3 linked regions of the Cricetulus griseus genome follow. The main gene of each other region encodes a partner of the protein of the gene in region 2 in a complex. Links are inferred from orthologs where the notes say so. Each region holds a gene or a part of one and is shown on either strand. Other genes may lie near its edges. The genes, in order: Axin1, Siah1 and Cacybp.

What was found.
Region 1: the proteins of Siah1 (region 2) and Axin1 are in contact, whole or in part, in a crystal structure (PDB 5WZZ), measured with the Homo sapiens proteins. The link is inferred for Cricetulus griseus from reciprocal best matches to the Homo sapiens genes SIAH1 and AXIN1. Residues at the interface, in NP_003022.3 of Homo sapiens: Cys130, Pro131, Ser154, Thr156, Leu158, Asp162, Ile163, Val164, Phe165, Leu166, Ala167, Thr168, Asp169, Val176, Asp177, Trp178, Val179, Met180, Asn272; in NP_003493.1 of Homo sapiens: Pro378, Lys379, Glu380, Val381, Arg382, Val383, Glu384, Pro385, Gln386, Lys387.
Region 3: the proteins of Siah1 (region 2) and Cacybp are in contact, whole or in part, in a crystal structure (PDB 2A25), measured with the Homo sapiens proteins. The link is inferred for Cricetulus griseus from reciprocal best matches to the Homo sapiens genes SIAH1 and CACYBP. Residues at the interface, in NP_003022.3 of Homo sapiens: Leu158, Gln159, Asp162, Ile163, Val164, Phe165, Leu166, Ala167, Thr168, Val176, Asp177, Trp178, Val179, Met180, Asn276; in NP_055227.1 of Homo sapiens: Lys59, Pro60, Ala61, Ala62, Val63, Val64, Ala65, Pro66, Ile67.

What each region holds. Positions count from the first base shown.
Region 1 is NC_048600.1:45,765,485-45,776,522, reverse strand, and holds the start of Axin1 (axin-1), read right to left. Parts: upstream 6,458-11,038; 5' UTR 6,293-6,457; intron 2,430-6,292; 5' UTR 2,349-2,429; coding exon 1,471-2,348; intron 1-1,470. UniProt on the Homo sapiens protein: Component of the beta-catenin destruction complex required for regulating CTNNB1 levels through phosphorylation and ubiquitination, and modulating Wnt-signaling.
Region 2 is NC_048596.1:162,340,631-162,351,343, forward strand, and holds the start of Siah1 (E3 ubiquitin-protein ligase SIAH1), read right to left. Parts: upstream 6,162-10,713; 5' UTR 4,954-6,161; coding exon 4,755-4,953; intron 2,098-4,754; coding exon 1,247-2,097; 3' UTR 1-1,246. UniProt on the Homo sapiens protein: E3 ubiquitin-protein ligase that mediates ubiquitination and subsequent proteasomal degradation of target proteins.
Region 3 is NC_048598.1:31,828,057-31,838,319, reverse strand, and holds the start of Cacybp (calcyclin-binding protein), read right to left. Parts: upstream 8,806-10,263; 5' UTR 8,643-8,805; coding exon 8,622-8,642; intron 3,650-8,621; coding exon 3,433-3,649; intron 1,786-3,432; coding exon 1,689-1,785; intron 1,103-1,688; coding exon 1,003-1,102; intron 1-1,002. UniProt on the Homo sapiens protein: May be involved in calcium-dependent ubiquitination and subsequent proteasomal degradation of target proteins. Probably serves as a molecular bridge in ubiquitin E3 complexes. Participates in the ubiquitin-mediated degradation of beta-catenin (CTNNB1).

The sequences.
Region 1 (11,038 bases), on a different chromosome or scaffold from region 2:
GTTTTCATGTTGAGATTAATGGTAAGGTAAGTCTCTAGTCATCAGCTCTAGGGAAATAAGCAGGAAACAAACTCTGCCCACAAGTAAAACAAGCACCAAGGTAGCCAAACAAGCTTCCTGTAACCAAGATACTAAATTTTAAAAAACAATAAAGCTTGGGCTGACAAGACAGGTTATCAGGTAAAGGAGGCTGTCACCAATCCTAATGACTGAGTTCAACCCCTAGAACTCACAAGAAGAGAAGTGATTCCTGAAAGTAGTTCTCTTACCACATATGCACACACATGCCACATGAGCCTGAGGGCAGTGCCTCCCCCACCCCCCATACTTGAGGTGCAGGCGCGCACGCACACACACTCACACAGCGGAATAAATGTAAAAATATATATACATTAAAACAGAAAAGTGAAGAAACAACTTTCAAAGCTACAGTCACTTGAGAGCACTGTTGTCCTCCAGTTGCACCCTTGGACTACACCCTTACTGACCACACCATGGAGGGAAAATGTCCAATTCTGGAATTCCAAGCACAGACATCAGTAGTTTCTGAATCTCTGAACCTCCCAACAACTAATGACACAGAAACTGCCCCACTACTGTCTCATCCTTCAGGAAAAATCCAAAAGATTGATTAAAATAGTAAGGTGTGGGAGGTGGGTTTTGGAGAGATGGCTTGGCAGTTAAGAGCACTTGTTGCTCTTCTAGAGGGCCAGGGTTTGAATCCCAGCACCACATGGTGGCTTGCAAGTGTTTGTTAACTCCAGCCAGTCTCAAGAGATCTGAAACCCTCTTCTGACAGAAATTCTGTGGGTACCAGAAACACATGTGGTATACATACAAGGCTATAAAACGGCCATACACATAAAATAAATAAGTCTAAAGTTAAAAATAAATAAATTAGGATTTTCTATGCATTTGAATGCATTCCCCTCCCATTATTAAGGGTTAGGGTGTCTGTCTCCAATCAGGTCCCTCTTTTATGAAAGATGACATGAATTTTGTGCTCAAACGTAAAGCTTAAACATTATGACTTCTAAGAATTTCCATGTTTCTAATAATTCACAAAGACCTATCTTTAGTAGTACATGTGTTACTAAAGAGGGAACTAAAGGAGGGTTTCCAGCATGCTATGCAGGAACTCTGATAAGCCTCCACGACTTTTCATTTTGAATCTCTACAAGTTGCCCAGACTGACAAACAATTTTTGATCCTCCGTCCTCAGTTTCCCAAGTAGGTGGGATTACATCTAAGTCTTGTTCGATGCATTCTCAACTCTGCAAATATAAAAAGGTATAATGACAAGCATGAAGACATCTAAGTAGGAAATAGAACCACACGTAATTCAACAAGAGCAGCAGTAGAGATTTCAGCTGGGATTGAACACAAGGCCACCTGTTACCATCTTTCCCTTGCTCCTTTGCCAGTTCTCCAAGGTGTGTATAGAAAATGGACACCTTGTGCCGAACTCACCTGAGCTCTCTGCCTTCGCTGTACCGTCTACTTGAGGGGGCCCTCGGGGCAGCAGTCTCCAATAGCAGCTTCTGGGTGAGCCTGCTGGGGGGGACAGAGTCTCGGCCATCATCTTCATCTGCATCTTGGTCACATTTCCATTCTTCATCTTCATTCAAAGTAGGCAGGTATCCAGACATGCCTTTCCCTGTCCCAGACCCTGAGCTCTGGTCACTGCAAACCTTCGGACTCTCTGAGCCTGTCCTTGTGTATTCCAAATAAATGTCAGACTTAAGGAAAGAAGGGTAGGTATTCTCCTCCATGGTGGACTGGATTTCTGTCTGTGCCTGGTCAAACATGGCAGGATCGATCTGCTGCTTCATGACACAGTCCTTTATGAAGCTCTTAGTGGCTGGCTTGGTTTGTCTGGACACAATGCCATTGCTATCCAGGATATACTTTCGATAGATGGCTCTTGCCAGCTTCAGCCTCTTCTCCTCATTTGAGTCACAAGGCTCAAGCTTCCTGAAGCCACTGCAGGCAAACCAGAAGTCCAGGAGGTCAGCACAGCCCTCCTGCTTCAGGAAAGTCCTGAACAGGCTGATCCCATCTTGGTCATCCAATAAGGAATGCAGTGACTCAGCCCACCTCAAGTATGGTGGGGTGGGGGAGGCACTGCCCTCAGGCTCATATCCCAGATCCAGATCTGAACGTCTTGGGGTAGCTGTTGAGGTCTCACTTTTAGTGCTGGCACCTTTCCCAGAGCAGAAACTGTGGTTAACAGGCCTTGAATCAGTAGATACCAGTTCTCCCTCTTCTCCAGGCACTGGGGGCCGGGGGGCATCTTCGGTGAAACTTGTTCCGAGGTCCAAGGGGAAACCCTGCTCCTGGACATTCATTTTGGGACTCTGCGTCAGTGAACAATGAGCGCTGCACCCTAATACCTCAGTACTTACAGCTCCCAAGGGAATCAATCTGTCCTGTTGAAACCATTAAGAGGACAAGGATTAGGAAAGGTGGTCCATGGAAACACCAGAGGTTCTCTTGAGATGTGCAGTGATGCCCCCCCACTCCCACTTGGAGCAGAGACTCATTGCAGACTTCCAGCAGAGACATATCTGGGCCAGAAGTTTTGTTCTATCATTAAGACAATTTCTGGAAACTTTTACAAGAATGTCTCTCAGACCAGCCTGGTCTAAAAGAGCCAGTTCCAGGACAGCCTCCAAAGCCACAGAGAAACCCTGTCTCAAAAAAAAAAAAAAAAAAAAAAAAAAAAAAAAAAAGAATGTATGTCTCTCCTACTAAGTGAAAGACTAGATCTTGGAGGGCATCTCTCTTTCAGGGGATGTTTTCAGTGATGAGGCCTGAAGATCACCCATCCTGACACTAAAGAAATGACTGTCTGGTGGACAGGAAAGCTAAAGAAGGGAAGGTGCCTCTGTAGCCATTTGCTAGCATCAGTGACCTAGATGGTCCCTCACACATAAAGACAACCATATCACTTGCCCAAGTGACACTCAGAAACAAAGAGGCACACTACAGATCCTAAGGTGGATAGGCACATTCCAAGTTTAACAGTCTCTGTACTAACCTGTCTGCTCTATCACTTTTCATACTTGATATGCCTCATAATATAAGCAACCACATAGCAAGATGTGCTTCCAGCTCTCAACAGCTAAGAGATCAACTGTTCATGTGCCACCTTCCACATGATGAAAAGTGATGGAAGGACACAGTCCATATGTAGAGGCATCTGTGCATCAACATAAACAACCTCAGAGATGCAGAAAGCTATACTTACTTGGCTGCCAATTTCTCTTAGAAGAAGAGTCCCTTCTGATAGCAAATGGTAACTAGAAACTTAGGCAAAAAAGGTATAGGGAAAAATGAATTACAAATACTTTAGCTTTTTAGCTAAAGAAGCATACAGGAAATATGGTTTAGCTCCACCAGATGAAAACCATACCACCTACACTCTTAGAGATTAGGGAAATAGTTTTTGCTGCTGTGTACAGTGTTCAAAAGGAAGCAAACCTGTTCATATTTGGATAGGAACCTCTACTATGATCTTTGGTCCTTTCTACTACATCCCATGAGAGCCTAGAGAGCCCCTGAGCTCCAGCAATGCCTCTCAACCTATTCAAAGGGGGAGATAACACAGCATGCCTTGTCCCAAATGGACCCACTAAAAGTGAGCTGGAAAGAGGCTTATGGCAGGATTGGATGTCTGGAACACTAAACAAGCCAGAAGGTACAAAACAGATCCTTAATACAAAAGCCAAGCATGGCGGTTCATGCCTGTAATCCCAGCATTCAAAAGGCTGAAGCAGAAGGATCATCCTGAGTCAACACTCGCCTGGGCTGCAAAATGAGAACCTGTCTCAATATAAATAAAGCCAGTGTACTGGCACACATCTGTAATCCTGTGACTTGGCAAGGTGAAGAGTCAAGACCTTGATCAAGAGTTCAAGGTCAAGGGCTAGGGATGCAGCTCAGATGGTAGAATGTTGCCTTAGCAAGCTTAAGGCCAGAGTTCCATCACCAGGTCCCAGATAATGCATGAAACTGAGTGGTAGTGTACACCTTTGAACAGAGGCAAAGGCGGGAGATCAGGAATTCAAGGTTATTCTTGGCTACATAAGAGTTGGAGATCAGTCTGGGCTACAAGAGACCCTGTCACAAAACAAAACAGCACAGCCCGGGCTTTGGTGGCGCACACCTTTAATCCCAGCACTCTGAGGCAGAGGCAGGTGGATCTCTGTGAGTTCGAGGCCAGCCTTGTCTACAAAGTGAGTTCCAGGACAGCCTCCAAACCAATACAGAGAAACCCTCCTGAAAAACAAAAACAAAAAACAAAAACAAAAACAAAAAAAACAGCACAATGTACATCTATAACAAAAAATAAGGGAGTGGCTCTCCCTCGTCACCACTCCACAGTGCTGAGCCCTGGCTTCCATGAAATCCATCCTGTGCTCATCTCACACAATATACACTTTACCTGCTAATAATGCTGATGGCTAGATTACTAATGGCTAGAAGGAAGAGGCATGTACAAATAAAAGGTGGGTCACAATTATGATATTTCTGCAGCTAATGACTTCTTAGGTAGGTTATAATCTCAGCCTCAGCAGGACCAGCCTGTTTCTTAAGGTCACACAGCCCCTATGACTGAGGTCTCAACTGCTCATAGACCTCCCCACACCTCTCTTTAACCTCAGTCACTTTCTGGGGGCTCTGTTTCCATGCAGTAAGCACCTTAGATGTTTGAAGCACCACACCAGCCCATCATGTCTACCATGCTCTTATCTAGGATATCACCACAGGAAAAAGGGCCTGCACCCCTGGCCACCTATTCCTAGAAGTACATGAACATTCCCACAAATTACTAACGCTGAAACATCGCAATTTCCAATAATCCCTGGACTCCCACAGAGGACACCTAGCACTTAAGGCACATACAGAAATACCACACATAAAGCAGTTATGAAAATTCAATAAGAGTCCAATGCCCATAGCACCAAATCTGGCCTCAAATCTGTAACTACCACCTATAAAGTGACTCCATAAAGGTAATATACAAGTATGATATCATATTTAAAATCCCCTTTGACACTGTCAAAACACACAGCCCTGGATATGTGTGCATATATTATACTCAAGCATAACTTCCAAACTTATGAGTTCGATTGAATGTAGAAGTAATAACATGACTAGCATTTTACCAACTATCTCTTGATTAAAATCTTGAAAGGTCAGGGCTATAATTTCCTATCTATTCCAGTCCCCCATCACATAAAGTCTTAACAGCCAATATAACTCTACTTTGTTTCTCGGAAAGATATAGGACAAGTCAACACCTGCTGAAAAAAATCAAACAAAATCCCTATGCTTTGTACACTTTCTCATCTTGAAGCTAAGTTCTAAAACTGAAAACAGCTAGTACTGCCCTGATGTTCTCCATCAGTCTGAGAGTAAAAGGGAGGAGTACACACGTAATGAGAACCCTTCTTAAGTTATCCTGGAGATGAGTTGAGAAAAATCTGAGGCTGGTGGATTCTTTTTTCCCTCTTATTGTCTTCATGACTAACTAAAAGTGTGCAGCTCTGGGTTTTGGTTTTGGGGGATTTTGGTTGTTTTTCTTTCGGGGGGGGGTAAGTAAGGCATGAAATGAACACCTGGTCAACTCGGTGGTGGTTTTGGCAAGCCGAACGAACCACAGCATCGCCAGAGTGCCCTTCTTGCTCTCACTCATCCCTACTTTCCTTAACTTTTTCACAGGGGTTGGGGGATGAGGCAAAGGAAGGACACACACACACACACACACACACACACACACACACAGCTCAGAGGACACACACAGTCTGGCACCAACACCTCCTCAGCACCCACATCCTGAGTGTGTCGCAGACCGTGAACAACCGCAAGCACACCACACTCAGCAAACATACATCCAACCGAAGATCATTCCTAGAAATCCTTGGTCTTCCTTACTCCCTTGTCCTTTCACATAGGCCTTTACCTTCCCCATGCGCTACTATCACCCCTTGCCTGGCCTCTAAAGTCCTTCACTCCATATACCTAGCATACCACGCAGCCCCCATGCCTCTACACGTACTGCGGAGCCCGCACCTCTCCTGCTCAGTTTCCCCTAGGAGCTCTGGTCTCCCCGCGCAGTGCACAACCGCGCACATCGCGGGCCGCGCTCCGACACGCCTCCCGCCCGCAACCCGCGCGCCCCTCTCTTCCGGGTCCGGGTCCGCCGGCCTAGCGCGGCCTACTCCCGCAGTCCCGGGCATCAGGCCTCCGCGCCACAGGAGCGCGCCCGCCGGCTCCCACTACTCACCAGCGCGCGGCGGCTGTGGAGGCGCGGCCCGGGGCCTGACTCCCGGCCCGGCGAGGCCCATGCGCTCAGCGGCGGCTCGGCGGGCGGGCCACGGCGGGGGCGCGGCCCTGGGGACCCCCATCGCGGCTACGGCGGCGGCTAGGCGACCCGTGGCCCGGAGGAGTCGCGGGCCGCCGCCGACCCGCTGCTCACTCTCACCAGCCTCTGGACGGAGGCTCCAGCCCGACCCCAGCGGGCTCCTGCGGCGGCAGCGGCGGCGGCCGCAACGGCCGCAAGCGCTTCCCTGAGCCGGGAGCCTAAGCCCAGAGCGCTGAAGCCCAGGCCCGAGCGCCCCCGCCGGCGCCGCCCGGAAGTGCGGGGGCGGGGCCGCGGTGTGGGGCGGGGAGGCTTGTGGGCGGGGCCTCTTGTGGAGGCAGGGTCGCGGTGTGGGGCGGGGCTTCTAACATGGGACGGGGTGGGAGGCAGAGGACAAGAAGAGTAATGGCAGGATTTTGAGCAGGAGGCGGGGCTGCGGCCGTGGTCAGAGTCGGAAACCGGAGCCAGGCAAAGTCTTGCCGAGGTGGAGGCGTGGCGTGGGTTAGTAGCGCTCCTGGGACTTAGTCGGGGAGGACGCCCAATGGAGCGGCGACTTCAGTAGGTCCCGAAAGGTGGCATGGGAAACTTAGCCCTGGGCGCGTTCAACAGCTACTGCCACCACCAAGCCCCTGAGCCAGTGCACCAAGGACAGAGCGCCCAAGTCTGGACTGACACACCTGGTGGTAGGCACTATCCTGAGAGTGCTTCTGGGTATCCAGACGCCACACACACACACACACACACACACACACACACACACACACACACACGAACGAGACCTACTGTCTCCAAACACACACACACACACACACACACACACACACACACGAACGAACGAGACCTACTGTCTCCAAAGGCTTGCTTCTCTTGCTGAGGTTACAGACCTGAGTCTGCAAGCTCAACAAGCCAACTCCATGTTGCCTCACCACAGGCTTCAGGACACAAACAGCACCAGGCACATAGATCTCCATTTGGCAGCAGCCCCTACACCTGCTCTGGGGTAATACCCTGTCAGAACCATCACAATTGAAAGGCATTGATCAGGCCTCAACCTTCTGTCAGCCATTGCCCAAGGAGAAGGATGTGAACACAAGGAATTACTGCTCTTGTGAATATCATCTACCATGCTGATCAGGACTCCGCAGCACAGCCCCTGACACCTCTCAGGTAGCCAGTACACTTTGCCGACAAGAGGTTGCAACTTAGGCTCAGCATACACCCTGGCCCAAGGACTCCTGGTACCCACATCCATCAGAACCTCTCCTTCTGTTGTCACCCCATAGCACCCTATCATGGCTGTATCTTCAGTTGCCATCTACATTCTTCAATATGTATGATGCTGTTCCTAATGCTACTACCATGCTTTCTCCTGGACATTGTTCACCCTCGCTGCCTGGCCCTTTATCCTTCATGGCTCCCAGGCAAAAGCAGTGTATTTGCTTAGGACTTCTGAACCCACAGACCATCTTTCCCCCAGCTGCCTGAAGTGATCCTACACCTGCCACCTGCCTCTGGGAGGACATAGCATAGTGCTGGTGCTCAGGGTTGCTATGTATAGAGAAGGGACCACTTCAACAATAGCTAGTAATTAGGGTGACTAGCCTGCCAAATTCCTCTCCTAGACTCATTACTGAACCTCGGGGCAGGGGCTGGGCTATAGACAATGCTGTACTGCTAAGCCAACATAGCCCCATTCAAATCCCAGCAGCAGGTTTCATGTGCACACATGCCCAACTAAAACAGTCCCAGGGCCTAGGGTCCCTGGGCACTGAAGACGCCCTCGAAGCCCCTGTCCCAGACCATTCAGCCTCATATCATTAGAAGAAACAATTATGGCCACTGATTGAGCATAGATAGCCTTGACATCGGAGTGCCTCCCCACTCCCAAACCGGGGCCCCAGCGCTTGCCTTGATTCTGTAGAGCTGCTGCTGCGGCCAGGCCAGGCTCTTGGGATCAAGTCCACGTCCATCCTCCTGCTAGCCCACGGTGGTGGGTATCCCCAAGCCCTGGGACCAGAATAGGACCCTCGGGCCTCCAGCTCCTCTTGGCCCCTGCCCTGCAGGGACAGGAAGGGAATCAGGAAGCCTGGAGGAAAGCAACAGCCTGCTAAGGTGGGCTGTGGGGTGTCCATGGGGGAAGAATTCCAAATAAGGGGTAGAAATTGGGGAGGATAAACCAGAGGAGGGAACTCCAACAAGGGCTAAATTATGGAGACCTTGAGGAAATTCCTACAGTGAGGAGGAGAAAGAGGACAGCACTTGGAAACCTTGCTTCTGAGAGACAGGTACACAGGGGCCTTAAAATACAAATGCAATGCCCTTTGCCCCACCCAGAATTGCCACTAACAGCTTTAACAACTTCCATGGCATTTTTCAGGCCTTTGGTCCCAGGAATGAAAGAAGGTTTAAAACAAACTCATGAGCAGAAATTATTTTCTTCAATGTAGACATAGAAATACTTTAAAATACGTTTGTTGAAGCCTTTATTTGTCCCTATGACTGAGGACGACCCTTCTTGAAAACTGATAAAGTCATCTAGCACCACCTGCCATGTGTGTTGCAGAGGTTCTGGCCCAGTGATACATGGCAAGAAAACCCACAGCAGAAGGTCAACTACAGAAATGATGGTTGGTGGCATCTGAGTTCCCAGCAGAGAGTGAAGATTTGTAGTCTTAAATGGCTCATTTACAGTTTTGGGATAAGGCAGCCATCTATACCCAAAGTGGCTCAGAATGCTGGCTCAGAGGACTTGGATGTCCCAGTTCTCTTCTCGTTGGCCAGCTGCTTTTCTGCCATAAACCCAATCCCAGCCTCTGCCTCATCCCACACATCTTCTTTTTCCACCATTTCTACAATTGGGGTTGAGGGACTGGGAGTGGAGGTGCGGTGTCCAGGGAAGACTGGACTCACTGTCCTAATGGAGGACAAGGAGTTTGAGACACAACAGTGAGGAGAAAAGCCACAATGCCACAAACACAAGATGCTAATTTTTGTGTCACAAAGCATGTATCCACTAAGGCAAGAAGAATAAGAACCTGTCAAAGAGGGCTCATACAGAACTATCAAAGGGTTCCTCTCACACCCACTCCAAAACAGAGACTCACTGTATAGCTCAGGCTAGCCTTAAACTTGGGATCTTCCTGCCCAAGCTTTCCAAGTGTTAGAAATACAGGAGTGAAGGTGCCAGTATGCTCAGTATGTTTTACTTTATTCTTTATTCTTCATGAACGTGGTATAATAACATTACCATTATAATTACTTGGAAGCCTCAACAACTCTGCAGTGGCTGCCACCTTCCAGTTGACATCAATAAGTCACATGAACAACATGAAGTCAAGTGAGCCTCTGGAGGACCCAACTGCTCATGGGCAGCGTTAGCTGTGTGTTCCTGTGCTCACTCCAGTCTAGTGCCTCAGGGTGCCCTAACTTTGTATCAGAAGCCACCTTAGCCCTGGCATGATCCTTGACATATTTATTTATTTGTTTGTTTGTTTATAATGTGTATGGGCATAAGATAGTCAGGGCCCACGGAGCATTGGTAGTACATGCCTTTAATCCCAGCACTTGGGAGGCAGAGGCAGGTGGATCTCTGTGAGTTCAAGGCCAGCCTGGTCTACAGAGCAAGTGCTAGGATAGGGTTCAAAGCTACAGAGAAACCCTGTCTCAAAAATCCAAGGGGGTGGGGGGGAGATGGTCCGGGCCCATATGTAGAAGTCAAAGTACAATTTCTGGAACTTGGTCCTCGTCTTCAACATGTGGGTCCTGGGAATTGAACTCAGGCCATCAGTCTCAGCAGCAAGCTCCTTTACCTGCTGAGCCACACTTTGCTGGCCCCATGTTCTTCCTCTTGCATCATTCCTGGTGATGTATATTCTGAGCTGGCATGTTGCCTTACTTTTTTGTTGTTTGTATTTTGCCCAACAAGAGCACAACTGTCCTAAATGATATGGTTAGGTATGGCTTCAGTGTTAACCACTGTTGACGCTTCTAAATAATGGGTTATATGCCAGCCACAATTGCAATGGAGGGTTCTGATGGCTCCTGCTTCAGAATGCTGTTTCAGCTCAGTATCTGCCTTCCCCTCCCAGGTAAGGAGCACCCATCCCCAAAGGAGTAGAGAAAGAATCACTCTGCCTTCCAGCATGGATGGTCTCTTCAGAGATGGATACTGTGGTAAATGTTATTATACTCTGTGTTATTACATGTTCCAGGCCCAGTCAGGTGGTACCATGCTTATCCCCTGGGTTAGACTCCAGAGGTACTCACAGCCATGTCCTCCTCCATCCAGAAGACCCTGGTAGCCTCCAGGAGTCAAGAGCCAGTACACAGGAAAGTAGGCATGGGTATGGTGCTGGGCCAGCTCACCATGTAAGTGGACCCCAAGGAGTAAACCCTTCCAGAATACTATCCACACCTTCTTACTGGGATCTGACTCCCTACTGTCGTGAGAGGAATCATCCACACTGCTGTTCTGAAGGGCTCTAGCCCTCAGGACTTGTCTGGGAGCAACTGGGAGAAAGGGGAATGTAGACACCGAGGTAACAGGCAAGTAGATCAGGGTCAGAATGTAGGCATGGAGGTTAAAAATCTAAGTTATCTTTTGATATCTCAGCCCTAGGACCCAGTAGGGGAAGGCAGCCTGCTACCAAGCCCAACACCTCCCCCAGCTAG
Region 2 (10,713 bases):
ATACTCTTCTGCTTTAAAATGCAGACTGGAACAAGAAAATACCTTTGGACTTTGCCAAAGAGCTATCTAGTAGAGCAGGGATTGGGGATGTAGCCCAGTGAGAGAGTACTTGGTTATCAAATGCTAAGCCCTGCGTTCAGTCCTCAGCTCCAGGGGAAAAAAAACAAACCAACCTAGAGCTAAAGTAAACACATTAAGATTTTTTTTTAATTTGCCAGATAATCTTTTAATGAGAATTATAAAAGACCAAAAACATTTTTTTTTGCAAACTGCCTTTTTCTTAAAAACAAATGATTTACTTTAATTACAAATACTGTGTATGATGATGCACTCTTTTGCAAAACCAATAAATACAAGAACCAATTTAAACATGTGATTCGCCCAAGACATTTGAAGAGAGGAAAAGCCTGATTGTTTTCAATATGTATGTAAATCAGATTTTCTCCCTAACCTAACCTTTCAAAGAGTAAGCCTGGTGGTGTAACTCACATAGACAAGACCATCTTACACCTGCTACAGCTTTGACAGCTGCTCTCATGTTATCTTTCCTTTCTGGAATTCCTATTTTCACAAAAGGGCTGAATTAAAAATATTTCTAATAAATTGATTGAAGGAAAAGAAAGTATGTACTCAACACAAACTTTTGACATAAGCAATTATGAATATCAAAAAGACACTAACTTAAAAGGTACAAAAGTGAGAAAAACCTGAATTACAGAAAAGAAAGTCAAATTTATTTAATGAAAAACTAGAAAATTAGCAAATACACACACAAAAGAAAAGAAAAAAAAAAAAAAAAACACAGCAGCACTATGTATTGACTCACAAGGGGAAAGCAGTGGTCCATGACCACACAGATGGCTTGTCAGTTAAAGAAAATCCAACCACACATGTGCACGAATGTGTGCACAGACACACACCCCCAAAAATTTGTTGTCAACAATACAATCAATCTACAACAAACACAAAGTTCAGAAATATTTTACAATGTTTCCTTTCTTAATACAAAAGATGCCCATCTTAGGTATATATATTTTTTTCAGTGGTTTACGTTGAATTATTTTTAAATATATTAGTGTTACTACATGCAACTGTTTCCTGTATTAACAGCCTTTCTTTTTATTTACCTTCATGTGTCTAGCTTCTACCTACCAGGAGTTTTAGGTTGGCAAGCAGATGGGTGCCTTATTCTCTGTGAAGTCAAATGCAAATTTTAAACACTGGCCAGAAATATTTGATTTCGGTTTCAACACATGGAAATAGTTACATTGATGCCTAAATTGCCATTTTCTGCAAAAAGCTGTGCAATGCTGGTGTCAAACACTAGGCAGTCACTATTCATAATGGCTGTTGCAATTCCCTCGTGAATAGAACGAGGAGTCGCTTCCCAAGTCAATCGCCGCCTATGACCATTTAGCTCAAGTCGATAAGCAAAATTTTCAGCTTGCTTGCGTGTTCCTATCAGCTGTACAATTGCGAAGAACTGCTGGTGACCATCGTATTTTTCCTGTTTCTCCAAGACTAACATGAAATGAAAGCCAAAACAGGACTGCATCATCACCCAGTCAACAGCACCAGGAAGGTTAATGTCTGTAGCAAGGAAAACTATGTCTTCTCCCTGCAGGGTTGTAATGGACTTGTGCTGATGCATCAGGTGGGGCATAACAGCATCCAAGGAGCCTTGCCACTTACAGGAAGCACCAGGGCAGGGGCAGGAGTAAGGCCTGAACTCACAGAGCTCCTCGTGCTCTGCCTTTTCTGTGTGCGGCAGAGTTATTTCACATCCAGAAGAGGCATATTTACAAGGGAAAAGTACTGAATTGGCCACTTTCTCCATAGCCAAGTTGCGAATGGATCCCAATGGGCCCCGGCAGGTCGGACAACATGTGAGTTTGGGGCGACAGTTGCTACAAACAAGATGGCCACTCTGACACTGAAGAATGGGTGGCAACACATAGTCAAAGCAGACAGGACACTCAAAAAGACTCGCCAAGTCATTGTTGGATGCAGTTGTGCCAGTCAGGGCAGGTACCCTCTGGGACGGCGGACACTTTGAGGTGCCAGTGGGTAATGCTGTAGCAGTCTGACGGCTCATTTCTGTAATGAAAAACAAGAAAATAAAAGGAGGCAGGAGAAAGTTATAACTATAACACATTTATAGATAATGTACACATGTCATAAATACTTGTCATGAGCAGAAGAATAAAGTTAAATAAATATGGTTTTAAAACTATATACAAATAAAATAAAAATTAACATGCTAAAGGTGAATTTTATTTACATAATGAGTAAACCATATTTCAAAATGTTGTATAGCATGCTTAAAATACCTTCCTGTTTAAAAAAAGTTATGAAAACCTCCAGGTGGGCTACATAAATAAGAAGTGCAACCAGGCAGTGTTGGCGCACGCCTTTAATCCCAGCACTTAGGAGGCACAGGCAGGTGGATCTCTGTGAGTTCAAGGCCAGCCTGGTCTACAGCTCAAGTTCCAGGACAGCCTCCAAAGCTACAGAGAAACCCTGTCTCAAAAAACAAACAAAAAGAATGTAAATATAGCCATGCCTTTAAGCCCAACACTCAGGAGGCAGAAGGAGTTAGATTTCTGAGTTTGAGGTCAGTCTGGTCTATAAAGCAAGTTCCCAGACAACCAGGGCTACACAGAGAAGTCCTATAAAAAAAAAAAAAAAAAAAAAAAATGTAAGGCTGGAGAGATGGTCCAGCAGTTAAGAACACTGCTGAGAGGACCAGGGTTCAAATCCTAGTACCCAAATGCAGGTTCAAGAGAGGCCTCCAGGGAACTACATACATGTGGTGCACAGACACATGCAGGCAAAACACCCATACACATAAAATGAAAATATTTTTTTTTAAAGAAGACCTTAAATACAACATAAGACCTATTTGGGCTGGACTTTTTCTCCCCAGAGTTCCCACCTCTGTCTACTTCTCAAGTCTGAGTTAACTCTCACAGCTTCAGGACCTACAGCCCGAGTCCTATGTAGTCCATATGCCAAAGGATATCAGAGCCAGACTGATTCTTTCCAGCAGGGAGCAGCATCTTCTGGAGAGCTGTGTTCTGGGAATGGGGCTCGGAGGGCCCAGGGAAAGGAAGAGTTGGCATCCCACTATCCACCTGCAGCTACCTACCTACTGGGTCTTCTTTCAAATCAGCGAGACATCATTTTGTCTCCTGTCAATCAGTACCCACCTCCAGGCTGAAGCAACAGGAAGAAGTGGAAAACCATCGTTCAGTAAGTTATTGTATTTAAGGAAGTCCTTATTCTACCTTTTTAAAATGGACACGGTTGTATTCTAAAAAAACTTTACTTATAAAAAAAGAAGAAAGTCCTTATTCTACTTCCATTCTGCAGCACAAATCTCATGTAACATGCAAAGGGAAGGGAAAGTCAGGAAACAATAGGAGGAAGTAAGGGTAAAAGCATCACACAGACACAAACACAGGATGGGGAGAGGGGCAGACTCAATAAGCAAAGAACTCCCCTGCACCCTTGGGTTCCCTGTGTGGCTGCAGCAAACACCAACTATACACACTGATTTCAGAGTCATCTGGAGGAAGGACCAGCCAGTGACAGTCAAGCACAATAAGCTCCTTTCCCCAGGACTCTGCCTCTGGGGAATTTGGCAGGGTGCAATTTATCTCAGACGTTGACAAAAGATCAATGTCCTAATAGTGCACTCCCTGAGACCACACTAAATAATATAGTAATTCTCCCAGTTATAATCACTCTGTTGCAAAGACCTTTAAGTTTCAAAAAAACTGAAGTTACAAATGTAACCAAGTCAATACAAATGGAATTTTAGTAGACAGTAACATTGTAAATAAGGGGGCTAAGAGCAGCACTGGAGGTTTAATTTTTTTTCTTTTGTTACTAAAGCAATACTAGCAAGTTCAAAGGGCAAAACAGTACTAACAAATGTTTAGCTTGCCTATATCCCTTGGTTTCATCTCCAACACATACAGTATGACAAAACTCCACCACAACAGCTCAGACTCATGGAGGAATACAACATGAATTAGCTCTCATCATCTGAAGCCCTGTGATCCAGGTGTCATAATAAAATGGCCCCTCTGTATTCTACTTTCCACCTGATCAAATTCTTTATGCAGCTGATTTATCCACTTTAGGTCAATGGCCTTGGCATTACCAAAGCCATGGGTTTCCCATCTGCTTCACCATGTTAACTGTGGCTCACTTAAAAGAACACAGATTTTGGAAAGTGATTTCTCGAAACAAACAGTTCCGGTCACATCAAAGAGCTCAGTTTATATTTAAACACAATATAGCCAAGTTCAGAAGAAAAACACTAGCCCAGTGCTTTGACCTGGCAAAACACCTCTAACACTTATCAGTGTAAGTTTGGGTTCATGTTACATCGTATTTTTATTGCCTTCCAAACACTAGAGAAAGCACACTGATATTCTACCCAGCATGATAAACAAAATGTGGTTGGAAGTATGACAGCACAGATAACTGCTACACCATTCCCTAGTTAGAAGGATGGAGTGTGGCTCCATCTTGAGCCACAAAGCCTCTCATCCACAAGCAGCTGCAAGGTAGAAACCAAGGACAAGTCCACAGAAGTCTGGACACACCTGAAAAGCTAGATTTAAGCAGGAGTTGCCACAGCTCCACTGAGCCCTCAATGCCGACTTTCACCAAGCCTAAACCAGAATCTATGGATTCGTGCAGTCCAGTTTCTGTCTCGGAAACAGATGTGTTTACGTCAGTACCTTTCCTCTTCCTGGTCCTGGTCCTAACTGTCGGCAAGCATGCGAGCAGGACTCCCTTCCAGGAATGCAGAAGGGGTTCGGGCGGCTTCCAGGTCATAAGAATCGAGGCGTCAGGTTCCTGCAAGCCACAAGGCCAGCCTGCACCAGAGGACCCTGCAAGGCCCTTGGCTCCTAAGCATAGAAGGCTGCTCACTTCCATTCAGTCTTAAGACCTGTCCCCAGGAGAGACAACACCTCCCATGAACTCTAAACTGGGTGGTCAGCAGAAGATGGCCAGCAGCTCTGGCGTCCTGCTGCTTAGGCTCCACCACCTGGCAGGCCCTGGGGCAGGGCCTCGAGAAGGGGCGGACCTCGCTCCAAGCCCCGCCCCACAGACCACCTGGACAGCTCTGGCAGACGCCACGGCAACATGAAGCCTGTGCACTTGGCAGCACTTAAGTCCCGTAGAACATGTTTCCGGAGGTCAGGATCTCAGTGCTTTCCTAAGTCTCTAGGGTAAGAAACACACAGGGAGGAAGGGAAATGCGCAACCAGGCAAGCACTCCTAATGTCAGCTTTGTCCTGTGAATTCTCAAGAAAAACATTCCCCCCCACAACTCACTCAATATTTCCAGGCCTCAACTACTATTTTCCTCAATTCTAACTCTGCCGCTTGTGTGCCAATCTATTTCAAATGCCCCCTTCCAGTGCAGTGAGAATGTAAACACACTCAGGGCATGTAAACCTCCACTTCTACCTCCAAATTGAGGTTATATATTCATCCCACTCTGGGAAAGTTTTCTTAACTGGCCTCATTAAACTAGAGTAGCTTGCCTTGTTTTTAAACAAGCACTACCCTTGGCCCATAAAGTCCTATACACTTCAGACCTGGATGGTGTCAGCTGAATCTTCAAAGCTTAAGCTGGTATTACATCACACTTAGGACAATCTTCAAATACAACCAGAAACTGGCAGTGAGTGCCCCAATACAATGGGTTTCACACACCTTCTGCAACTTCAACTCCAACCACTTGCCCACCTTTATTGTATTCAATCACTTCCACCTAACTGTTTAATACTAGACTACAACAAACAGCTTTAAGAACAGAAATATAAACTACACATTCTAAATTGCACATCAAGCCTATTTTGGCATTAAGTTTAAATAGCTATTATCTAAAAGGAAATAAATAGTATTAATGCCTTTAATTTTGTCACAACATTTTTAGGGCATTTAGCCACATTTTGTTGTTGTTCTTTTGGGAGAATTTTTGTTTGTGGAGGCAGGACTCACTCAATCATCCTAGACTACCACTGATTTCTAAGAGTCTGAAAATGACTTTGAACTTCTGATAATCCAGCTTTCACCAACTTCCAGTGAGTACTGGGACTGCTCACCACCACACCTAGTTTTGTGTGGTGCCACACCTTTGGAAAAACTAAGCAAGCACTCCACCAACTGAGCTATGTCCCCAGCTCATATACATTTGTTAATGTGCATGGGTGTTTTGCCTGCATGTGTATATATACACCACCTGCATGCATGATGCCAGCAGAGGCCAGTAGAGGGCATAGGATATCCTGGAACTGGAGTTTGGACAGTTATGAGCCATTATTTAGGTACTGAAAAACATCCAAAAGAGTAGCAAGTGCTCTTATCTGTTGAGCCATCTCTCTAAGTCTTGCACTCTTTATTTAAAGAAAATAAAAAGGTAGAATACCAAGACTGCTCACCCCTTAATTTCCCTAAAATTCTTAGAAATTACATGTTTATTATAAAGTTACAATGCTAAGGGTTATAGATGAGTGATGTGAGGTCTAAACCCCGAAGACACGTAGTTAACTGAGGTGCTTATTTAACATACAAATTGGACTTGGCTGCCAGGTTTTCCCTGCATCCCTCAGTCCCTACCTGTTACAGGGTATGGCTGGCACACCCCACCTCCTACCCTACATTTCTCCAGCCCAGGGGCTGAGCTGCCCTTCCCTATATAATCCAGCCTTTTTGGTTACATGCACACCCTCACTGTCTATCCTGTACTCTCCTGGCTCTCCTCCCCCCCTTTCCTCTCTCCTAACATGACCTGGCTCAGGGTCATGTTCACTCTGGACTCTCCTAGATATCCCTGCCTCTGGCTATGCTCTCCCTTTTATCTATAATAAACCTCCCCTCCACCATACCTAGGAGCAGTCATATCCTTCCTTTTTAATTTCATTTTTTTTTCATTCATCCGGTACCCACAGCCGGGAATGGCATAGATGAGCTCCCTTCCAAGTACCTGGGCTGCTCTGAATCAAGCTGCTGATTTGCCTCTCCTAAGGTTTGTAGAGATCACTTGTTTCCAATAACTCCTGTCATCTATCAAATTTGACCCCAAATTCTAGAGTCCGCTGTCTCACTACTTCTCCCCCAACGCCCACATGCTCTAACCACGCCTGTCCTTGTCTATGCCATGAATGTATCTCTGACTCCTAGGGCCTTCTCCATCTCCCAAGGAACCCAGCCACCTGGACACTGGCCTCACATCGCAGCTCCACCGGCTACATCTGTCTGGATCTCTACCAAGGACACTTACCGTCTCCCTTTTCCCCTGCTCGCCCATCTCTCTTTACTGGGTAAGTGTCACCTCAAGCTGCCTCCTTTGTCTACTATTACTACAAAAGCCACACCAGGGTGACAGGAAGCTCCTCTCGCCCTATTTAGGCCCCAGTCACATGGGAAGGACACCTTTCCTCTGGGATTTGGAACACTTTTCTCCCTGACAAGTTTCCCATTCCCCTTGAGGACACCCTGGATGGAAATTCTTGTCACAAAGGCTCTTTATCCACCTCAGTTCAGTTGCATTCTCTCCCCTCCCCCTAGGCCCTGTAGTCCATCCTGCAGGCCACCACTCTCTCAGGTCCTGCTGTAGTACCTAGTTTTTTCTTTCAGCTCCCTCCTAAAGTCTCCTTGACCCTCTGCAGCTTCCTGCTCTGTCTCTTCCTTAAGCCCTCCCAGGCCTCTCCCAGCAACTCGGAAGCTTCTCTAAGCCTGAGCCCACCTGGGCCTCTATACACTCTCACTCAGCAACTTTTGGGAGTTTATAGAAAAGTCCTCTGAGGGTGGAGTTTCATTTCTCAACATCCGGACTATAAACAACTTGGCCTCAGTACCAATGGCCAAACATTGGCACACTTGATTTCCAAATCCTCACAAATCGTAACAACTGTCACAGCATAAACAAATGATCCCCAAATCTCTCTTATCTAAACTAGCTCTGCTCTACACTTCTACTTCCTACTCTTAAAAATCTTTAGCTCTACAATTTCTCCTTGCTCTGCTATCAAAGTCTCTTAAGACTATGCTGTAAATTCTCTCAGGATTTGTAAGTTCATTGGGTATGGTTAAAAATGATCTATAAATCTGTAACAAAACTTGGCTTTAAACTTATAACAAAAGGCTTATAATTAAAATCTACACATAGGCAATCTTAATAATTTGCTACAAGTTACTATACATGTGATTCAACTCTTGTTTAGAACATACTGCATATGTACTTAGATTCAACTCTTTTTTGTTTGTTTTTTCAAGACAGGGTTCTCTGTGTAGCCTTGACTTCTGCTTCCTGAGTACTGGGAGTAAAGGTGTGCACCATCACGGCCCAGTTGGATTCAACTCTTGAATAAAAAATAAAAAGTGATCTACAAAAAAAATAAACCTTTAAATAACAGCTCCATGGCTGGCAGCCATCTTTACTAGGGTTAAAAGGTATATGCCAAGGGACTTAACCACCATCTTATGATGACCATATAAAATAAGCCAATTAAGGCAACACCTATACTTCTTTTTAGTCCTACTGAGCCCTCTGTTTCCCCTTTTAGACTAATGAAACAACAACAGGGGTCTCCAAAATATTTTGGATTGGTATGGATTATGATGATAAAATTTTAAGGTTATTACAGGTCTACTTGGATGAACAAAGCTGACTTAGAGATTTACAGCTAACTACTTATGTCTCTTTGCTAACTGTTCAACTCCAGGCTTCTAGAAAACTAAGATAACAACATGTGTTTGACAAATAAGGTATATTTGATAAGGTCTATAAATTCCTAAGGTCTACTCAGGGTCAGAGTAATAGCCATCTAGCTTCATTGTCTCTGCTCACTTTATTAAGCTTTTCTTAAGCTTTAGCTATCTGGATTAACCGAGTCATGCAAAAAATTGATATAATGGTGCCCTATAAAAGAAAAGTTCCCAGTCTTCCTATGGACTATATGTATGGCTTAAAGCTTTATTTTGATGCTGCCAGGGACACTTGTGGGTTAACTGCTATACTCTGCCTGGTCAAGTCCCCCAAGTCCTTTCCACAGGAACATCTCTCAGACCTGGGTCTGGCCAAGGCTGCTCTGTGTGGCAACTAAAGATTAAATGCTGTCCTATTTGAACACTGCCTCAAATGAAGACAGAGCCCACAGGAGCCTAGGGCAACCATCTAGGTAATGGCTTCAGGGAATCAACTTGAATCACCTCTTGCAGGCCAGACTCAAGTACTCATAAATTTTCCCCACCTGCCCTATTCCTGAGATTGGGATCTCCTTCCTTCCTTCCTTCCTTCCTTCCTTCCTTCCTTCCTTCCTTCCTTCCTTCCTCCCTCCCTCCCTCCCTCCCTCCTTTTCCTTTCCTTTCCTTTCCTTTCTTCCTCCCTCTCTCCTCCTACCCCCTCCTACCCCCTTGGTCTTGGGAATCCAGCCCTCCAACTACCAAGACCATGGGTCTGAAAGTTTCAAATGTATACTCTCGATTAAAAATTTACCCCTAGGAGCTGGAGAGATGGCTCAGTGGTTAAGAACATTAGCTGATCTTCCAGGGGACACAAGTTCAATTCCCAGCACCCACATGGCAGTTTACAACTCCAGATCCAGAGGATATGACACATCAGCCCACACATACATGCAGGCATACACCAATCAATGCTCATAAAGTAAAAATAAATTATTAAAAAATATGTCCCCTAAGATCCTTTAACTTTACCTTCTATCCCTAATCTCTATCTGTTCCAGCATATTTCCAATCAACTAAGTACTGCAAACTGCTCCAAAATCAACAGCCCCAACTGCTTCATTCAGATGGACTTTCCAACCAGCCTGAGCCTCTGCAGCCTAGATTACTTCAAAGTAGCTAGCCCCAGCTGGTCCAGCCTCATAGACTGCTCCAATGTGGCCTGCACTTCCCTAGCTCCAGAAGGTCCCATAGAATCTGGACAGCATGGGAAAAACCCTGCTCTTCCAGGTCTTGGCCAGCATTCCTGCTGTCTTGGGTCCCCAATGTCAACAGGAAGCAGTCATAGAAAAGACTTCATCCCCCCCTTATCACTGATTATCAACAAAAACACTGGGATGTTAGGTCTCAAACTCTTGGACAAATGGCTGAGGTACCTATTTAACATATTAAAGTGGACCTGGCTGCCAGGTTTTCCCTGCATCCCTCAGTCCCTACCTGTTACAGGGTATGGCTGGCACACACCACCCCCTACCCTAAATTTCTCCAGCTCAGGGGCTGAGCTGCGCTTCCTTATATAATCCAGCCTTTTTGGTTACACCCCCACTCCCACCCCAACACACACCATCTACTCTTTACTCTCCTGGCTCTCCTCCTCCCTTTCCCCCTCTCCTCACATGGCCTGGCTGAGTGGCATGTTCACTCTGGACTCTCCCAGATAATCCTGTCTCTGGCTATGCTCTCCCTTTTATCTACAATAAACCTTTCCCCCACCATACCTAGAAGCAGTCATGTCCTTCCTTTTTCCTTTTTATTTCTTTATACATTCCAATGGTAAACCTCATGCCTAACTACCAGATGCAAGACCTTGAGTTCAAATTCTAAGTGACAAAAATGTTAATAAAATTATAACTATCCAATTATGAATTTACCCTTTTATTAGGATTTGAATTAAAACAAAACATGCTGGAGATAGCTCACTTCTGCAAGCATGAAAACCTA
Region 3 (10,263 bases), on a different chromosome or scaffold from region 2:
ACAAACAAAAACAAAACAAAAATGAATAGCTCCTAGGTGAAACAGTTATAGTGTATTGAAAGGACTAAATCTCAGTGATTTAAGGAAAACTAGAGGGGTCTGAAAGGAGAGCAAGGAAGGTAAACAACTTTTTAACTCAACAATGTGTAACTCCTAGATGCTTTGATTATTCCTCTGACTATGAGACATAACAAATAGGCTACTGCAGGGAGAACTGGATACTTAACACATGGCATTTATTACTACTTTTAAGCAAATACATAACATGGAAGAATTACATGTCTATACATTTGATATATTAAACATCACTTTTTAAACTGAAAAAAGGGTTGTGTAAGTTTGTAAAAAGCATAAGCAACTGATTTTTTAATGAAAACTTCCTTATTTTTTACAACTTCAGCAATTAAGTACTTAAGAGATCCTTATATGCATCAGAAATTTACATATAACACAGCTAATAGTATACTATTTATGTTAGTGCTTCCTATTTATTTACCAGTATATCATTCCTACTTTATGAAATTACCACTGTACAAAGAACCACCAGGGGTCACAACTACTAAGGGATAAAGCTGGCATTAAAACTCTTACTCACTGAAAACATTTCTCCTTACTTTTAATATATTCTACAATGAATTGGCAAACTTCCTTCAAAGGGCCAAACAGTAAATTATTTATTTTTCATTTCATGGGCTAAATGATCTATTTTGCCACCGTAGGAGAAGCAGACACCAAAAGAACGTAAGAATGGTTATTCCAGTAATGAACTACTTACAGATCAGCCTGTGGACTGTACTGTACTGGAGCTAGATACAGCTGAAAACTTATAGTTCATCTCTGCCCTAAATCAGCCAGATTCAATTTAATAAAGTTTTACAATATTTTCACGCGTGTGCGCGCACAACACACACACACACACACACACACACACACACACACACACACACACACACACACGCGCGCGCGCACACACACACTCTCTCTCTCTCTCACAATACTCACTTTTTTTGAACTGCTTTCCACAGAGATGGGTTTCAAAAGATTGTTCACAATCATGGAGTAATTCTTGCCATTGAGATTTTTTACCAAAAGATCAAATGACCTACAAACACAACAGGGAATGCATTATCTTTCTGGTTCTATGACAGTCACTCTATGGTTCTTGAGACAAGTCAACAGCTTTGACTTAGGGCAGTAGTTCTCAACCTTCTCCCTTAATACAATTCCTCATGTTGTGGTGACCCCCAACCATAAAAGTATTTTCATTGCTACTTCATTACTGTACTTGTGCTACTGTTAAGAATCGCAATGAAAAGCTGGGCATTGGTGGTGCACACCTTTAATCGTAGCACTCGGAGGCAGAGGCAGGAGGATCTCTGTGAGTTCGAGGCCAGCCTGGTCTACAGAGTGAATTCCAGGACAGCCTTCAAAGCTACAGAGCAACCCTGTCTCGAACCCCCCCCAAAAAAAGAATTACAATGAAAATATATGCTATGTGGGATATCTGATATACAACCCCTGTGAAAGGGTCACTTGACCTTCCCAAGGGTTTTCGACCCATATTGAGAACAACTGGGTTAGTATGTAGACTTGGTTGTTCAGCAGAATTTTGGAAGCCATACAGAAGACAAGATTCCTATGATAAAAATAAGGCAATGATAGCTGTACTTCCAGTAACAAGAACGCACCTCTCAGTGAAGTGTACCTGCACATTTTCAGTGGGAACCTGATGAACTCCAGTTAAGGTAATGTAGATTTTCACAAACTTATCTGATTGATCCCATCCTAGCAAAACAAAAAAGATGAACAGACACATCTGAAACTATCCATAGAACATGGCTTAATATAAAACTCAGCAGTTAAAAGCACTGGCTGTTCTCCCCAAAGAACCAGAGTTCAAGGCCCAGCACCGACATGGCAGTTCATAGCATCTGCAAGTCTAGTCCTAGGGTATCAGAAACCCTCTTTTAGACTCTGAGGCATGCAGGTGACGCACAGACATACATGCAAACAAACACCCATACCCGTAAATAAAATTCAGAAAATAAAACTCGGTAACAGTTTTACTGTTACTCCAGAAACAGACACACACACACAAATAAATTAAAAATTCTCAAGATATGGGACAGAGAGATGGCAACTATAACTCCAGTTCCAGGGGATCTGACACCCTCACACAGACATACATGCAAGCAAAACGCTAATGCACATAAAAAATAAAAAGGAATCATTAAAAATTCTCAATATGGAGAAGCTATGTCTCAAAACCGAACTTCTGAAAACAGTACTATTCCTGAGAATAAGCATCCAACAAGTGGGAGAATGTACAGTAAGATTCAGTTTCTAAATGCAAAGCTAGGGTCATTAAATGCATTTCATCTTTCTTATGAATACCAGCAAGACCTCTACCAGTTTCTCTCCAGCTAAAATTTTTCATTTTTATTTTGAGAAAGATCTAAACTGCCAAAGTTGGCATCAAACTTGCAATCTTCCTACCATAGCCTTCCTACCATAACTATGATTAAATTCTGTGTCACTATGCCCAAATACGAGAAGACTGGCTTCTTGTTTTTTTAAAAAAATTTTGCCCTTCGGGGCTGGAGAGATCGCTCAGAGGTTAAGAGCAGTGGCTGCTTTTCTAGAGGTTCTGAGTTCAATTCTCAGCAACCACATGGTGGCTCACAACCATCTGTAATTAGATATGGCACCCTTTTCTGGCCTGCATGCATACAGGCAGGCAGGACATTGTATACATAATAAACAAATCTTAAAAAAGGAAAAAAGAAAAAAATTTGCCCTCCATCTAAAGCTTGATAGATCTTGCCATGGGGGGTACACATTTATAACCCCAGTACTTGTGAGATGGAAACAGGAGAATCAGGAGTTCAAAGTCATCATCAATTCAACAGTTTAACATCAATACTGTTTAATTCAGTAACTATTTCTACTTCTCAAAGCAGTCTAAAAAAAAAAAAAAAATGTAACCACAGCCCTTTCAAGACATAGCTACTTGGGAGGCACAAATGGGAGGATCTCTTGAAACAGTCTAGACAACATACCACGATGCCTGGCCTCCAAATAAAACAGAATGAGCCTGGTGGCTCACATCTGTGACCCTAGCACTCAGGAGGGAAGGCAGAAGGATCTCCACAGTTCAAGGCCAGCATGGACTACAAGCAACTATCTCACAAACACAAAACAAGCAAAACTCAAACAAGTATAAATAGATAAAAGATCCTAATTTTTCACCGTAAATCTGTTAATTTGGCCTCCCAGTAAGTACACTATCTAATGCCACTTTGGTAATCTAACCCACGCCAAATGTCAACATTAAAAATAAAGAGCACAAACTTCACACAAAAATCTATGAATACATTATGAAGTAGTTCTTTCTGCTTGGCAGAATACTAGATATAGTGGAACGGGGCATACCATAATTACTGATTTTCACAGTGTATCCTGTCGTAAGAGGAGCAACCACAGCAGCTGGCTTTTCATTGTCAAGTTCTGATTTCTTCTGTGATTTCTGCTGCATCTTGTTCTTTATTTCTATCTCAATCTTGGATTTTTCACTTGTAAGAGTATCACGAACTCTTTTCCTAGTGGACTTTTCCAGCAACACTTTGACCTCTTCTAGGTCCTTCTGCAACTGTGTTAAGATAGAAGTAGGTTAGGATAAATAAGGCCTACCATCCAATTCAACTTACTGAAATAAAATGAAAAGTTAAGTTCATTTTAATTTTTAGGTTTCAAACATAATTATTTCTTCTTGTTCCCTGAATTGTAAACAACCCACATTTCCTTCTTATTAAAGGAAAACAATCTTAAATCAATAATTGTCTTTATTTTCCAGTTTGGTAGGCTGTTACCTGTCTGTGTTTTAGAAAAGTAGGGGGAAAATTTTTTATAGATGTCCTTGTAACACCTAGCTAGACATCAAATATTAGAAAACTTTAATTATAGTCAAAGAGATGAGAATCCATCTGACTGGGAAGGGCGAAGGCAACTTTACTGAGGTAACAAAGGCTGCACTTTCAGTGATCAATTTTCCTATCTCAGAATTTGAATTTTTTAAATTAAAGATAAAAAATAAAATAGCAAGATGGCTCAGTGGGTGAAGGTGCTCCCTGCCAAGCCTGATGCAGAGTTCAATTCCCAGGATCCAGGTGGAAGGAGAATCAATACCATCAAGACCTTATCTCCACATATGTCGTAGTAAATAAATGTAAAAATATTCTGCTCCTAAGAAAAAGTCTTGTTCAGCAGTTGGGTTGATCTTTTGGTTAGAATCTGAGACCAAGAAAGGAAACTTTGGATATCTAATCCCTTATGACTCTTGGAAATTGGTCTTTACAAGTCTGTTTTCTTGTCATGCCAATACAACAGGTAAGTCTTCTAGTTTCTAGACAGACATTTATGATGTTGTGGAACTTCATTAAAGACAATCAATGGGCAGGGTCTGGAGAGATAGCTCAGTGGCTAAGAGCCCATGCTGTTCTTCCAAAAACTAGCTGTTCAGTTCCCAGCACTCACACCAGAAGCTCACAAATTTTTGTAATTCCACCTCCGGGTGTCTGATGCCCACCACGGGCACCTACATACATGTGCTATTACGTATACAGGCAGATAGACAAAAATATTTCTCCAATCATGCTCTGATGTTAATTGTGAGTAAATGCTTTCTGCCTTGAATGGCCAAGATCAAAAACACCAATGACAGCTTATGCTGGTGGGAGTGCAAACTTATACAGCAGCTGTGGAAATCAGTATGGCAATTTCTCAGAAACTCAGGGATCAACCTACCTCAAGACCCTGCAATACTACTTTTGGGCATATACCCAAAGGAGGCACATTCGCACCACAAGGACATTTGTTCAACTATGTTCATAACAACATTATTTGTAATAGCCTGATCTTGGAAACAGCCTAGATGCACCTCTACTGAAGAATGGATAAAGAAAATGTGGTAATTTACACAATGGAGTTCTACTTAGAAACAATGACATCCTAAAATTCACAGACAAATGGACAGAACTAGAAAAAAACATCCTGAGTGAGTAACCAGAAAGACTCACTCATAAGTGGATACCAAACATAAAGCAAAAGACACCCAGCCTACAAAACATACCCCAGAGAAGCTCAAACCCTCTTCAAAAACAGATGGAAACAGATGAAGAAATCCAAAACTAACCAATAGGCCAAGCTCCTGGAGTACAATCAAAGTGAGAGAGGAGCGATGTATGAACAAAGGAGTCAAGACCATGATAGGGAAACCCACAGAATCAGCTGACCCAAGCTAGTGAGAGAGCACTGACTTGGGTCTGACAAATGGAGAACCTAAGACCGAACTAGCCTGACTCTCTTAATATAGGTGACAATGGTGTGACTGGGACAATATATGAGGCCACTGGCAGTGGGTCCAAGATCTAACACTAATGTACAAACTATCTTAGTGGAGACCATTCTATATGGAGAGATACCTTGCCCAGCCTAGACACAGGGATGTGGGGGTGGAGAGGTACCTTGGGCCCACCTCAACAAGATGACTTCCCCTCTCTGTGTATCAAATGGGAGGAAGGGGGTGGGGGAGGGACGGGAGGAGAGGAGGGAGGGGGAACCAGGATTGGAATGTTAAAATAAATTAATAAAAAAAGTGTAAAAAAAATTTTTTTTGCCTTCATACTAGGTAACCTGATCACAAAAACAGCAATCTTACTTTACACCTTCATACTAAATAAAAGGCTTAATGTTAAGTCTTTAAATGACCCTTTTACAACTGAAGAGTCCATAACAGAAAACCACAATCAAAAACTAGGAGTCCAGTCTCAATGGATATATCTACAACATAACTCCCTAACCTAAGGCATTATGTAAGGCTCAGGGTTAAATGTGGAAGAGGTGAGGGCTAGAATAGAAAGAGGATCAGAGATTACTGTGAGACTGTCTCCTAGAAATATCAGAAGCCACCCCTCACCACCTGCCCCAAAATCTCATCAGTGCAACTGCCTAACTGTGAGCAAGGAAAACAGGCAAGCTAAAGTGAACAAGGTAAGCCCGTGATATCTCAACCCTGCCCAAAGAACTACAGGCAAACGAAAAAGGCTAACAGCATGAGAAAGTCTTCCCCAGGGAAGAAGACAGACCTGAGCAGATTTGTAACAACTAATGAAAAGAGAGACCATGAAACTCAAGGGGAGCAAATGGGAGGCTTGGAGGGGGGGAATAAAATAATTTTTAAAAATCTTTTAAATGCCAGCTATCAGGTAGCATTTGAAGTAAAAAGGAGTTAGCCTTTGTTTTATAATCGCTATTACTACATGGCCTTTATGATCTCATTTGTTGTATTTACTTACAACAGTTTATAAAAAACACAACAGGGATGCTCCTGTCCACAATCAAGAAATACTGATTCTAAAATCCAAAACTGCACACTCATCTTTTGAACATAGAATCAAGGTGTTTCATTCCAAATCCTTCAGTGGCTTCAAAATTCATGTGGATTCTAGTATCAATATAATAAAAATATTAAAAGTAAAGCAAGTACTTATTCCTCCAATAGGAATTTACTTAACAAAGAGAAAGGAAACCTATCAAATCTAAGTTAGAGGTTTTGCTTTTGCCTGGAAAAGGAACCCTTTTTCTAGCTGACTCATGGCAGAATTCCCAGGCCCTCTTTATGGCCAATTTTAGCTCTAAAGTACTCTGCACTCTTTAGTAAGGTGTCAACAGAAGAGTCATTGCTTGGCTTTTGTATTTGCAGCCCTGAAACCAACATAGTGCATCCAAACTTTAAGGTGACCAAGAACAGATAAAGCAGTTTCTATCTATTTTATCTCATAATTTTTCTTGCCTTCTTGGCATGCATTTGTTTCCTGTATGTAAACATGTATGTTCCTTTGAATCTATCTCCTCGTTGTGCACTAGGGGCCTCAAAACCAATGTGTCTGGCCTGGCCTGGTAGCATATGCCTGTAGTCCTACCACTCTGGAGGCAGAGGCAGGTGGATCTCTATGAGTCTGACTACTACAGAAAGTTCCAAGCCAGGACTATTTAGTGAAACCTATCCCTGCAAACAAAAATTGCTCAAAATAGGGAAAGAACCCACGTCGTCGTCGTCGTCGACACCCCCCCCAAAGACATGGGATTGTGTACCAGGTACACATACACAAACAGATGTATCACATCCAGAGAAACACACAACAAATCCATAAAGTGGTACCACACACTCACTTAGATGGTATCATGCGAACAACAAACACCCAAGAAAACAACAAAATGTTATAGTATATGAAGAAATACTATCTTTTATGCAATTCTTGTGACAATGGTAGTTTCCCAGGACGTGCCTTATTATCTAGCAACTACATGGACTAATAACATGCCCCCAAAACAACAAAACTTGTTTACAAAGATTCAAAATCATCAAAATGGAGAAACGACCATATGCCAACAGATGAATGTGCATTCTGTATGTACAATGGAGTTTTATTCAGCCATTAAAAAGGAATGGTGTATTGATATACCACGGGTGAAATAGAAACATGGAGGGTACCAGCCCAGCTGTTGCCTTATCAGAGCCAATACTCAATGGATTTCTTTTTGAGGAAATGAAAATATTCTGCAACTAAATAACAATGATGGAAGAAGGTGAATTTCACAAAAGAAAAATGTGCCCCTAAATGCATACCCCCCAATTATAAAGTTAAAGTTCCTTCCTTCGGAGAATGTTTACTACTGAACTACATGTGTGCACAACTGTTAAGTAGCCCCAGACTCTCCATGTGAGCACATGTGCTCAAGGCTACTTACTTGTGGCAAGATTAATACTTTACCATAACTTAATAATCTTTCTGCCTTTAAAAGCGGATGTCTTGCTTTTTAAAGTGAGGGGAAATTTTTCGAAAAGGAAATTTTAACAGATAGCCCACGCGTATATCAATCACATAAAGTCTACATAGGCCATAAGTCGATCGATTACCATTTCCTATTTTGTGGCCGAGTTTTAGAGCTTGAGGTTCCAAAAACGTCAAGTCACCCACGTTCATAATTTACAGACCTATAAAGAGACGCCATGCAATCCCCTATCATTACCTACAACTAAATTTCCAATTATTTCTTAATGCACTTATTACATAAAGATTGGGGATGTAACGCAACGGTGGAGCGCTTGCCTAGCATGGGCAAGGCCTGCAGGTCCGCCGCTGGCGCCGCTAAAGGACCAAAGTGAGTCGTAAGTGCAGCCCTGGGCGTTCAGAAATAACACACAGGACGTAGAACCACCCCACGGAAAGAGTGCGGTGCCCAAGAAACTATCTTGGCTAGCCGTGTAGGCACAGGAATGCCTTCCAATTGCCCTCCACCTGGAGCTACCAGCTTTTGCAATGGGCTTTAACGGAGGTCCCGGTCCCCGGGAGGCCCTCGGGCACACGGCGGGGCCCCGCGCAGGCATGTGGGCTCCCGACACACCCCCGAACTCCCGACCGCGGCCCGGCGCACAGGGCCCAGGCAGGTGGCGGCGCGGAGGCCGCGGGCCCACGGCAGGGTCAGGGCTGAGGACGCGAGCCCGGGGTGAGGCGCGGCCGCCGGGCGGCGTGGGCCGGTGGGTCGAGGCGGACCCCTACCTCCTCCAAAGCGGAAGCCATGGTGTGGCGGTCGGGCCCGAGGCCGGAGCTGCACCGGTGCACCGGTGCGGACAGGAAACGCGGAACACGCCACCCGAGAGCGACAGACACAGCAGCAGGCGCGGAGAGCTACACCGACCCGGCGCGATCCCGCCGCCCGCCCTCCGCACGCGACGCCTCTGGAACCTTCGCGAGGTTCCGCCGCCAGCCCCTGAGGCCCCGCCCAGGCCTTGAGGCCCCGCCCCGCCCCGCCGAGCCTGGGCCCGCCCTCCAGCCAGGTCTCCTAGCAACGCTCAATTCTCGCGAGCGAGCGAATGCTCGAGAAGCCTGACGTCTCTTCCTTTCCGTCCCAGCAGCCTAGACGTGTTTCCGCTACCGCGTAGCCTCGCTGCGCAGTCGCAGCTCGGAGCTACGGCCTGACCTAGCCGGGGAACTAACGCACAGCGGTTTGTGGACCCAGGGGAAGTGTTTAGAGAAGGCCTGCTTCCGCCTCTAGGATGCCGGCCCAGCTCGGCCGCCATCTTGTCTCTGGCTAGTGTGAGCTGTGGGCAGAAAGGAACAAAGGCGCGCTCTCAGAGCTGCCTACTTACGTCCAAAAGGGACAGGTTTGTTCAGAGAGGAAGGTTCCTAAAGAGTCTTTAGGTGTGCGTTGGAATTCTGGGTGCGTCATGCGTCAAGCGCCTTGGACGCGGCGCCATCTTGTAGGACGTTAGGAAGGGTTGCACGTGCCGCTGACAGGCTCCTGGGCGCAGTGGTGGGAAGGCGGTGTGAGGACTCGGGCGTCATGCTGGCCCGCCGCTGCCACCCGGCAGAGTACACTCAGGCAGTACCCTGGTCAGCCCAGGAGCGGCAGAAAAACCCTTTAAAAGAAAGACACCACCCCATCCCACCCCCGCCCCCTTTTTCCCCTCCCTGCCCCCCTCCCTCCCTCTACCTCTCTCTCCCTCCCCTCCCTACCCTCACCCGCTTCCCCCTCCCCTCCCCTCCCATCGCTCCTCTCTCTTTCCCGCTGTTCCCTGGAGCAGACAGGACTTTTCCTGTCTCCCTCTTCTCTTCTGTCCCCTCTCTGTCTCTGGGTCTCTACCTCTTTTCTCTTTCCTTCTTCCTCCCGTTTCAAATAAAACTTCTCACTTAAACTCTGTTTGCCAGGCGTGTTTGTCCCTCCGCCTCGGTCATCCTTGCCTTCCACGGAATCCCCCATTGTCCCCCTCGTGTTCTGTCATGACAGGCGGGCACTTCTTCAGTGGCCGAAATTTTGATTCTGCGTTTCCTTTATGAGCTATTGAAACAAGATTTCCAGTGCCTTCGCTCTTTACTAACGGTTCAGTTATTTTGTAGTTTTCAGCAGCAGGGTTTGAATTAAGTGATCCCAGGTGGAGAAATTATTAGAACTATATTCTGGTTATAGCAGCCCGGATTAGTAAAGACCCAGCTTTTACTATTTATTTGAAAATTATTTTAATTTCTGACAGCACAGACATAAAACAGAAACAGTACTCATTGGGAGGTCAAGCAATCTGCTGTCAGCTTTAAACATGCCTAAAGAAGCAATTAGAATCAACAAGCCAGAAGGCAAATGCTTCTATACTACATTTTACTTTACACTAATGTAATTACATTGCAACATGTGTGCATTTCTCAT